2 linked regions of the Caenorhabditis elegans genome follow. The protein of the gene in region 1 interacts with the protein of each later gene in a pairwise test. Each region holds a gene or a part of one and is shown in the gene's direction. Other genes may lie near its edges.

The links. The genes of interacting proteins can lie anywhere in the genome.
Region 2: the proteins of dbt-1 (region 1) and Y44F5A.1 interact in a two-hybrid assay, tested with the Caenorhabditis elegans proteins (one large-scale study listed by BioGRID).

Annotation. Positions count from the first base shown.
Region 1 is NC_003280.10:7,942,082-7,947,146, reverse strand, and holds dbt-1 (Lipoamide acyltransferase component of branched-chain alpha-keto acid dehydrogenase complex, mitochondrial), read left to right. Parts: upstream 1-1,940; 5' UTR 1,941-1,971; coding exon 1,972-2,044; intron 2,045-2,090; coding exon 2,091-2,166; intron 2,167-2,247; coding exon 2,248-2,358; intron 2,359-2,666; coding exon 2,667-2,749; intron 2,750-2,986; coding exon 2,987-3,208; intron 3,209-3,258; coding exon 3,259-3,323; intron 3,324-3,368; coding exon 3,369-3,653; intron 3,654-3,732; coding exon 3,733-3,924; intron 3,925-3,973; coding exon 3,974-4,075; intron 4,076-4,131; coding exon 4,132-4,269; 3' UTR 4,270-4,545; downstream 4,546-5,065. Other genes in the region: ZK669.5 (GTP-binding protein Rhes), read left to right, coding at 271-333, 633-815, 866-1,026, 1,074-1,169, 1,353-1,488; GILT-like protein ZK669.3, read right to left, coding at 4,582-4,704, 4,748-4,838. UniProt on the Caenorhabditis elegans protein: The branched-chain alpha-keto dehydrogenase complex catalyzes the overall conversion of alpha-keto acids to acyl-CoA and CO(2).
Region 2 is NC_003281.10:4,244,346-4,249,519, reverse strand, and holds Y44F5A.1 (WD repeat-containing protein 55), read left to right. Parts: upstream 1-1,848; coding exon 1,849-2,102; intron 2,103-2,560; coding exon 2,561-2,843; intron 2,844-3,542; coding exon 3,543-3,854; intron 3,855-4,170; coding exon 4,171-4,473; 3' UTR 4,474-4,662; downstream 4,663-5,174. Other genes in the region: depd-5 (DEP domain-containing protein), read left to right, coding at 700-850; zhit-2 (HIT-type domain-containing protein), read left to right, coding at 5,135-5,174.

The DNA of each region.
Region 1 (5,065 bases):
TCAATAGATCAGGAAGTTGTATATTACACATTTCCTATTTCACTCTCTTCTTCTTTTTCATATTTTCATACTACATTTCAAAGTGCTACCAAAAAAGAAAAAATGACTTCCGATTTGTATATTGAGTTTTCTCTATTTCTAACTTTATCCATATACTCTTTTTTTCCAATAATTTTTGTCTTTTTCTATGTTTTATCCTGCAATATGAATTATTGGTGATAACATCATCAGTCCAAATGAAAAATGGATGAGCTTATGTTTTTCAGAGGAATGGCTCCCGATCCAACTTCTTATGATCGAGTTTTCAAATTTCTTATTTTCGGAGGCAAATCGGTATTTTTTTAAATTAAAATCTTTAAAAATTTAAATTTAAATGTCTCTAGTTTTTAAATTTACTAAATTAGTTATGTACTCTCTATTAGAATTTTTCTGACAAAGGTTTCTAAAAAAATGTATCATATTTTGAGTAGTGGCAGTCAAAATATTTATTTTTATTCAAAAAGTATGAGTAGGGCTACTTAAAATTTCCCATTAAGCTCACAGAGTGGATAAAATTGAGTTTTGATGTTAAAAATTGTTCTTCAACGGCTGTAACTCTAAGAATCATTTAATGAAAAAAAAAATGTATTCAGGTTGGTAAAAAGACGTTGCTCCGATCATTTTGCACAGAAGGAGATAATGAAAGTATTTGGACTTCTCTTACTGTTGATGATGAGAAGGTTTTAATTGAAGCAACTGTTTCACAAAAATGGGAAGAAGGAATGTCAAAAGAGCACGATGCAATTGCTCTTGTTTTTTCTACAACTGATGTATATGTGAGTTATTTCGATTGAAGCTGGCAAATCAAATAAATAAATAATTTCAGAGTTTCGAATACACTTTAGAATTATACAATGAAATTCAAAAATCGACAGAGAGAATTCCCCTTGTGTTCATAGAAAATAAAATAGATATTGTGGAAGATAGTCAAATGGATAAAGGATTAGTTGAAGGAGAAATGAGGAAAAAACATAAGAGACTTTATAGGTTTGCAGATGATTTTTAATAAAAAAATTATAAAAAAATAATTTCAGAGTGTCAGCACTGAAAGAATTCAATGTTATGCATCCATTTGCCTACCTCATCGAGAAATTGACACGACAGAAGAAAGATTTAAACGCGAATGAGAGGTTTGACTCTATTACTTTTCAAATTATTTATTTAAACGTTCTTCTCTTAAATAGCTATATTTTCATTTGACAGTTTTCAGACCTTCTCCAATTATCCAATCTGTAATGAAAATTTCTAAAATTCTAAAATTCTGAATACTATATAAACTGAATAATTCCTTCAACATTTTTTCAGCGTTTCAGAAAACAGTCTTCGTCTGTAAATTCTACATCAACGTCACCACCATCTACTACAGTTGAAGCTTGGGTTGAACCGGTTCCCACGGCGACAACAACTTCGGCTCCCGCACTTAAAAAAGATAAATGCACACTGATGTAGTATTGTTTTTGAGTTTAGATATTTTGTTTTTTCTATTGAACTACGAAAAATCACAGTTTCTTGAGGTATTAATTTTTTGAAACAAATTGGGCGTTACGGTTTTGATCTCTTTTTATTTTCTCTTTTATGAAATCACGAAATAAACCTTTTGAATTTCTGAAAAAATATATATGCTTTTCCGAAATTCTGAATTAAATAAACAGTTTCATAAAATGCACCATGATGCACCATAACGTGATAGAGTGCGATTTCTTGGAATTCGAATTTGAAAAACCGCCAGTTTACACGAGAAATGCGCAAAGACACTTTGCGCCAGCATGCGTCCTTGACGCGTTGTTGTCATTTTATTCATTTTCTCACAGCTTCCACGGATTTTCCTTTTTTTTATTTTCCTTTTTATTTTCCTCAGTCATTTCTCATAAATTTTAATTTCGTAAACGCAAAAATTGTAGAAGAAGAAACTGGTAAGAATAACCGACGAAAATGATGGCCGCACGACTCCTGGGAACGTCGTCTAGAATTTTTAAATTAAATAAGCATCTTCACACATCTAAAGGTTGGTTTAAAAAATCTATTTTAATATAATATTTTCGAAGTTTCAGTCGCTTTTATGCCGGTTGTTCAATTCAAATTATCGGATATTGGAGAAGGAATTGCCGAAGTTCAGGTTAAGGAATGGTAAGTCATACTGTAGATGTAGTTTCGCATGAAAGCCAGTGAATTTTATAATTTTTCCACAAAACTGTTTTAAACTTCCAGGTACGTGAAAGAAGGAGATACGATTTCGCAGTTCGATAAAGTCTGTGAAGTGCAAAGTGATAAAGCAGCAGTAACCATCTCCTGTAGATACGACGGGATTGTCAAAAAATTGTAAGTTTCTTCCTAAATTCGAAAATTTCAGTTTCCCTGCTATCTGGTCGTTTCAATTCTTTTTAATATACATTGTAAAAAGTAACAAGGCACGTGGCGTCTCGGTTTGCACAGGTTACTCTGCGTCTCTTCTCTGTTCTTGATTGACAATCACAATATCACTGATCACCAGTGAAGCTGAGAGATAAAGCTTTTTGTGGAGATGACGGAGAAAATGCAATCAAAAAATCAAAAATTACTGAAAAGAAATTTTTTCCTGTTTTTCCTTGAAATGTCATTTTTATCTGAAAATGCAGAAAAGTTTACAGATATCATGAGGTTGATGGAATGGCTCGAGTTGGACAGGCTCTCATTGATGTTGAGATAGAGGGAAACGTGGAAGAACCCGAACGTATGTTTTTTATGCGTTCTAATGTTCTTATCGAAATTCCCTATCAGTTATAATCTCGCAATAGTTTTTCTTTGAAAATGCTATCAGCTATAATTGCCAATTTTATCTGTGATTCGAAATTTAATCTACTTCAAGAACTGAACAAAATGCATTTTACTTGATTTCCCAAGGGGAAGTCTGACTTCTCTGTTTCTAATTAAAATTGTGTTTTGTTTTCTACTAGTGTTTTTTTTTCAGAACCGAAGAAGGAAGCTGCTTCATCATCGCCAGAAGCTCCGAAGTCGTCAGCGCCAAAAGCTCCAGAATCTGCTCATTCAGAAGGAAAAGTTCTTGCCACACCAGCAGTTCGTAGAATTGCCATTGAAAACAAGATCAAGCTAGCTGAAGTTCGCGGAACTGGAAAAGACGGAAGAGTTCTCAAAGAAGACGTTCTCAAGTTCCTGGGACAAGTGCCGGCTGGTAATTTTTACGAAGAACTTTTTGAAACTTTTAATGTTATTTATTTATAGACCATACCTCTGGATCTACAAATATTCGTACTACCCATCAAGCTCCACAACCATCTTCGAAATCGGTAAATTTTTTTAAAGTGGTTTCAATTACAAATCAACTATTTTAGTATGAACCTCTCAAAGAAGATGTTGCTGTTCCGATTCGTGGATACACTCGAGCGATGGTCAAAACGATGACTGAAGCTCTCAAAATTCCACACTTTGGGTACAACGATGAGATTAATGTAGATTCTCTGGTCAAATATCGTGCTGAACTGAAAGAATTCGCGAAAGAGCGTCATATCAAATTGAGCTACATGCCATTCTTCATCAAAGCTGCTTCTTTAGCTCTTCTCGAATACCCATCTTTGAATTCTACAACTGATGAGAAAATGGAAAATGTTATACATAAGGTATACTGATGAAATTCACACGTTTACTTTTAAAAAATAATTAATCTTCGAATTTGTCTATTTTGAAAAATAATTTCAGGCTTCTCACAATATTTGTCTCGCCATGGACACACCAGGAGGGCTTGTTGTACCGAATATCAAAAACTGTGAGCAAAGAAGTATCTTTGAAATTGCTCAAGAGCTCAATCGTCTTCTGGAGGCTGGAAAGAAACAGCAAATTAAGAGAGAAGATTTGATTGATGGAACTTTCTCATTGAGCAATATTGGAAATGTAAGTTTTCTTTTTTCAATTACTTAATATTAGTAAAAAAAAATTAAAGATCGGTGGAACCTACGCCTCTCCAGTTGTCTTCCCACCACAAGTGGCTATTGGAGCAATTGGAAAAATCGAAAAACTCCCACGATTCGATAAACATGACAATGTAAGAAAATATTTTTCAAAATTTGTGAGACGTGTTGATAACAAATATTTATTTAGGTCATCCCTGTGAACATCATGAAAGTTTCGTGGTGCGCAGATCACCGAGTTGTGGACGGAGCTACAATGGCTCGCTTCAGCAATCGCTGGAAGTTCTACCTCGAACACCCATCTGCAATGCTCGCCCAACTTAAGTAAAGTATCATGTTTCATCTGGTTAATTTTATTAGGTGCCCAATTATCCCTTGATGTAGACATTCCCCCGTTTTCAACACTCTAAACCTGTTTTTTTTCTTGAAGGTGCCTCCTGTTTTTAGAGCATATTTTAGATAACGATTGCATTTTTCAATCCATTTCTTACTCGATTATTAGCCTGCTTTTTTTTTCTTTTTTCTTGTGCCATTTACTTGTTTGATGTAGGATGCAGATATCAAATAATCATGTTCGTGTAGAATGAAAAGATTCCCGTGATAATTGGAAAACATCTTTATTTACAAGCACTTTCAATGTCTAGTATACGATTTTCTTTGGACAATGAATTGGTCGAGGATCGATGAATCGATCACAAAGGAATTGCCACAAATCTTCCTCGGCTTCTTTGTATCGAGTTCCATTGATTAAAATCCATGGAGCCTGAATTTCAATTATTACAAATTACAATACATTTTAAAGATACCCAATCCATCTCTGGTGCCATTTGAGCAACAATATTTTCTTGATCGCTGAATAGTTTTCGGCCATGACGACTTTCGGCACATTCCATCATTCTGAAAAAATCAAATGAACTTAATAGAGGAAACATATTACGAGAAAACTGAATTCTGAGAACGCGTATTGTGCAACATATTTGACGCGCAAAATATCTCGTAGCGAAAACCACAGTAACTACAGTAATTCTTTAAATGGCTACTGTAGCGCTTGTGCCGATTTACGGGCTCGATTTTCGGAATGAATTAAGGTCAATTATTTATTTATTGATAGAATATTAAAATAA
Region 2 (5,174 bases), on another chromosome or scaffold:
CTAAATTATAGAAAAAAAAGTTAAATTATTCTAAGCCAGGAATTTTCTTTGTTGTTCAGAGAAAATCGAAAATTTATCAGAAACTGCTTTTTTTTTTGAAAAACGAAAAAACGAGAAATTGACTGAAAAAAATGCAGAATGTAGAGATTATTTTTTAAATTTCAACTTTTCCAAAAAGTAAAAAAAATTCGATTTTCAGAAAACAAAACAAACGAAATTTTTTTTAAGTCGTTATAAACGAAAATTTTAAAATCAATTTTTTTGATTTTACTACGTTTTGAAAAATTTTGAAAATTCACAGAAAAAGTCAAATTTTCATTATTTTTGGATATTCATTTTAATTGAAATTACAATAAAGTCACATAAAATGCGCTTTCGATTTTGAAAAAAATCTAAACACGAAAAAAAATAAAACGGAAAAAACCGAAATATTTTTCGCAGTCAAAAAATTCCAAAATAAAAAGCCTTTCGCTTTCGGAAAAAAATGTTTTTAAAAAACTGACGCACTCGGTTTTCAATTTTCAAAAAAAAGAACGACTCGGATATTAGGTATTTATAGAAAATATTTGGACAAAAATTCTACAGAAAATGGATAAGTTACCAATAAAATGAAAATTTCCTATTTTTACGATTAGTCGAATTTCGCAAATTATAAAAACTATTTTTAAAAAATTTCCCCAATAATTTTTAAATTTTCAGTCAATGTTCTGAGAAGTTCCAAGATTATCTCTTATCGGAATTCCGAGCAGTGTGCTCCGACAAAAACGACACACTAACTCAACTTTATTCGGATTTCAAGAAAGAAAAACTACAAAAACCACGACCGGCGACTCCTCCGAAATTTGATTAATTAGATTTCAAGCAATTCACCCTTTTTTCTCAATATGGCTTTTATTCTCCCTTTCTTTTTCATTCCAAAAAAAACTTTTCATATTATGTTTTCCATTCATTTTTAATGAATCATCCTAATTCAGATTTTAGCCAATTTCAGTTTTACTAACCCCAAAAATTTTTCTTCAGTTTTTTTAAATTTATTTTTATACTTTTTCTTAGTGTATTAATTTATTTTTATCTCTTATTACTCTCATTCTATGTTTTTTTGTTGCTTTAAACATTTTCTAAGCAACCTTATTTCCCCCCACACACCGGTCAGGACCGCCACCGCTAGATTTTGAATTTTAGTTGATTTTTTTCTTTGATTGTATTATATGTTTTTCTCTTGTTATTCTATGTCTTATTTTTTTCCGTATTTTCGGGTGTTCTCATCATCGTCGCCCGTCGTATTTCATTCAGTATTTTATGTTTTCATCGGTTTTTATACAATTTCAAACGGATTTTTCACCCTTATGAAAAGATTATTCATGTTTTTATTGCTTTTTTCATTTTTTGGCTTATATTCTTGGCGTTTTTCATTGAAAATCGTATTTATATATTTTAAAGTTAAAAAAAAACAGAAAATGTTGTGTTTTCACAAAAACGAAAAAAAATCTAAAAACCAAGAAAATAGCTTTCCTGATTTTTCCATTTTTCAACAAAAATTCAAAAAATATTTGTGAATTTTGTCGGTTTTTTCAGGCGAAATTTCTTGGTTTTCTTGTTCAATTTTTCTCTGTTGTACAATTCGAAGCATTTTTCTCAATTTTTTAGACATTTTTCTTTTAAAAAATTAGAAAAGTGTTAAATTATCGATTTTTCTGTTTTTTTTTATTCAAAAACAATTATGCTATCGGAATTTTTTTTTGGGATAAAATTGAAGAAAAAATTCATTTCAATTTTATATATTTTTAAACAGTTTTTAAAAATATATTCGTATAAATTCATGTATTCCAAAAATAGAAATAACTTCAGATGCTCGTCGAATTTGATAATCCACCACTTTGTATGAAATCTAACAAAGATGGAAGTCGCCTTGTCGTTGGATTTGTGGATGGAAGTATTCGATTCTATGACACCCAACAACACGAGGAAGAGTTTCAAGAAATCTGGAAATTTCAGACAAAAAGCAGTATTCGAGGAGTTGATCTTGATGAACACAAGAAACGAGTTTATGCCGTTACAAAGAATCGATCTCTCTGTGTTTTTGATATTGACACGGGAAAACGGTAATTATTTGAAAATTAGTTAAATTTTTGAAAAAACGCAAAAAATTTCCATGTTTAGCATAATTTTTTATTGATATTCTCGATTCAAAAAAATCTCAGTAACATTGTTTTTTACTGGAAAAAAAATTTCGATCAAATTTTCGGAAATTCCAATAATAATTTTAAAAAATCGGACAAAAAATTCGAGAAAATAAAATACAATTTTTCTGAGATCGAAAATGTTTTCTATTTTAAAATTATTTTTTACAGCTGAAATCGAAATAGGATTTTTTGTCGAAAAAAATTATCGGGAAATACTAGAAAATTATGATTTTTTTTTGATTTTTCGATATCTTTGAAAATATCAAATCCGATTTTCTGAAAAATCATAATTTAAAAAAATGTTTTTTAGCAAAAATGCATTTTTTTTAGTCGAAAACCGACAATCCTTCTGATTTAAAAAACTCTATTTTTTTCAGTGTTCGTTGTATTCTAAAATGTCATCGTTCTGTACCAACTGCCATTTGTACACTTCCACCAACTGCTCTAAAATCTCAACAATTGGCTACAGCTGATGAATCGGGAGAAGTGAAAACATGGAATTTGGATCCAGAAGTTGCATCGGAAAATGCGAATATTAGAAAATGGCAGGAACAAGATGAAGATATTAATGATTTGAAAGTTGATGTGAAATCAAATTTATTGGCAACTTCTTCAGATGGTACACTTGGAGCTTACGATCTTAGAAAGGCAAAGCTTAAGGTAAAAAATTGAGTATTTTAATCTTTTTCTCAAAAAAAGCGCTTTAAAATATATATTTCGGTGAGAAGATATGAAAACTTCGTTTAAAATAGAAATTATAGGAATTTATGGATTGGATTATTCCAAAAAATCAAGAAACATTTTAGATTTTTCGATTTTCAAAAAAAAAAAGATTTCCAAAATTTTTAATGACTTTTTTTCAATTTTGAAAAAAATTCAAGGATCAGGTTTTTTTGGAATTCCGGCGCAAATTTCTAGTTTTGATATTTCTTCATTTTCCGAATAAATTTATTGAGAAATTTGCCGTAAATTATGAACATTAAAACATTTTTATAGCTTTATTTTTAGGAAAAAAATATAAAAAAAGTCTAGCGAGAAAATGTCGAAAAATTGTATCGCGAAATTGAAAAAAAAATCACTAAAACATTTTTTTTTAATCTCTAAAAATTTTAACAGATGTAGTCACATCGAAAATTTCTCGATTTTTTTTGTTGAAAAAATATATACTTCAAAAACGAAAACTGTCGATTTTTCGAAAAATCTGAATTTCAGGAAAATATGAACATTTTGAATTTTTTTCGTTTTTTTTTTCAATTTTCGTCCCTTTTTCAATAGTTTAAAGTGAGATCATCAAATTGTCCACCGTAAACTACAGTAACCTCAATGCAACCTTCCTTCTAATTTTCATTAATTTTGCAGATGAGAAGTGAACTAATGCACTCGGAGCTCTATTCAGTTTGTGGAACAAATCGATCGGTATATGTTGGAGGAGAAGATGGATATGTTGAAGTATTTAATTTAAATGAATATGGAAATTTGTTGGAAAGAGTTGAAAGTGGTTTTGAAATGGGTGTAAATGGAATTGTTGAATTGAGAAGTGGTTTATTGGGATTAACAAGTCAAGGAAGTAATCGAATGAGATTATTGAATGTTCAACCATCGAAAAGATTAGGATATGCTGGATATCATGGTGATGAGAAGAGTGATGATGATGGTATTGATGCTATTACGGTAAGGGAATTGCTTTTAAAAAATTCTATGTATTTTGGAGAAATTGAGCAAATTTGAAATAACCGAATTTCTTTCCAAAAAAAAAAACAAATTACAGTAAATTATTAAAATTTAACAATTTTTTATTCGGAATTTTCACATTTTCGGTTTTATACAATGGAAATGGACAAATTTTCATTAAAATTTTTTTTTGAAAATTTATTTTTCAAGAATTTTTAAAAATTCAGTGTTTTGAAAGAATAAAACTACAAGTTCTACAAATAACATTAAAATTTCGTACCTCAAAAAACATCCAATTATATTCCATTTTTTTCAGATTTCAACTGACAAATCAACAGTTTTTACAATGATCTCAATGAGCTGTACAATCAAAAAATGGGATATGGGACCAATTATCGATGAGATTCCGATTCTTAGAGCTCAGGATGCAAAATCGAAGAAAATGAGAAAAACTGAAGGATTTTTCGATGGATTAGTTGGACCGAAAAACGATTCAGATAGTGATGATGATGATGAGCCAAAGAGCAAAAAACGAAGAAATGATGAAGATTCGGATGAAGAAATTGATGAGGAGGAACAAGAAGAGGATGATGAAGAGGAGGAGGAGGACAGTGATTAGATGATTTTTTTTTAAATTTATATTTAATTTTGTTGTTGCTTTTTGAATTTTTGTTGAACTTTTCTTGTTACCTTCAATTTTACGTTAAAAACTCTCAAAAATACCCTTCGGGGACCACTTTTTGGTTGTTTTGGCGATTTTTAAGACATTTTTGTTTTGTTGTTGTTAATATAAAATTATGTTAATTTTACTCAAGGTTTTAAAATTTAAGTTTTCCATTTTGGTTGAAAATCCAAATTTCTTATCTGTTTAGTTTTCATTGGAAAACTTTTAAAAATTATTTTATTTTCCATTTGTACGATTTCAAATGAGGGTGTGCTGAGTGGTCTCGCAGATATAATTTTGAAAAATTTGTGTATGTATGTGTGTACCTTTAAGGTTACTGTAGTGACACCAAATTTTCATAATTAATTCGGCGCGCGTGTCGAGATCATTCCGTAGAAATGAACCCTTCTTTGAACTCGTCACTTATATTTTTCAAAATCGAAAAACACCAGAGGTTTTGGTTTTTCGGGCCAGAAAATTTCAGAATAAGAACTTTTATTTTCGGGTTTTTGAAAAAAAAATGGATGATGCATTTTGGTAAGAGATCCTGGTAGAAGACCATTTATTCTCTTTATAAAATTTTTTTTTTCATAAAATAAAATCTAATTTAATTCAGATGTCAACTTCATCATTTCTCGCTTGCGGAATCTGCGGCG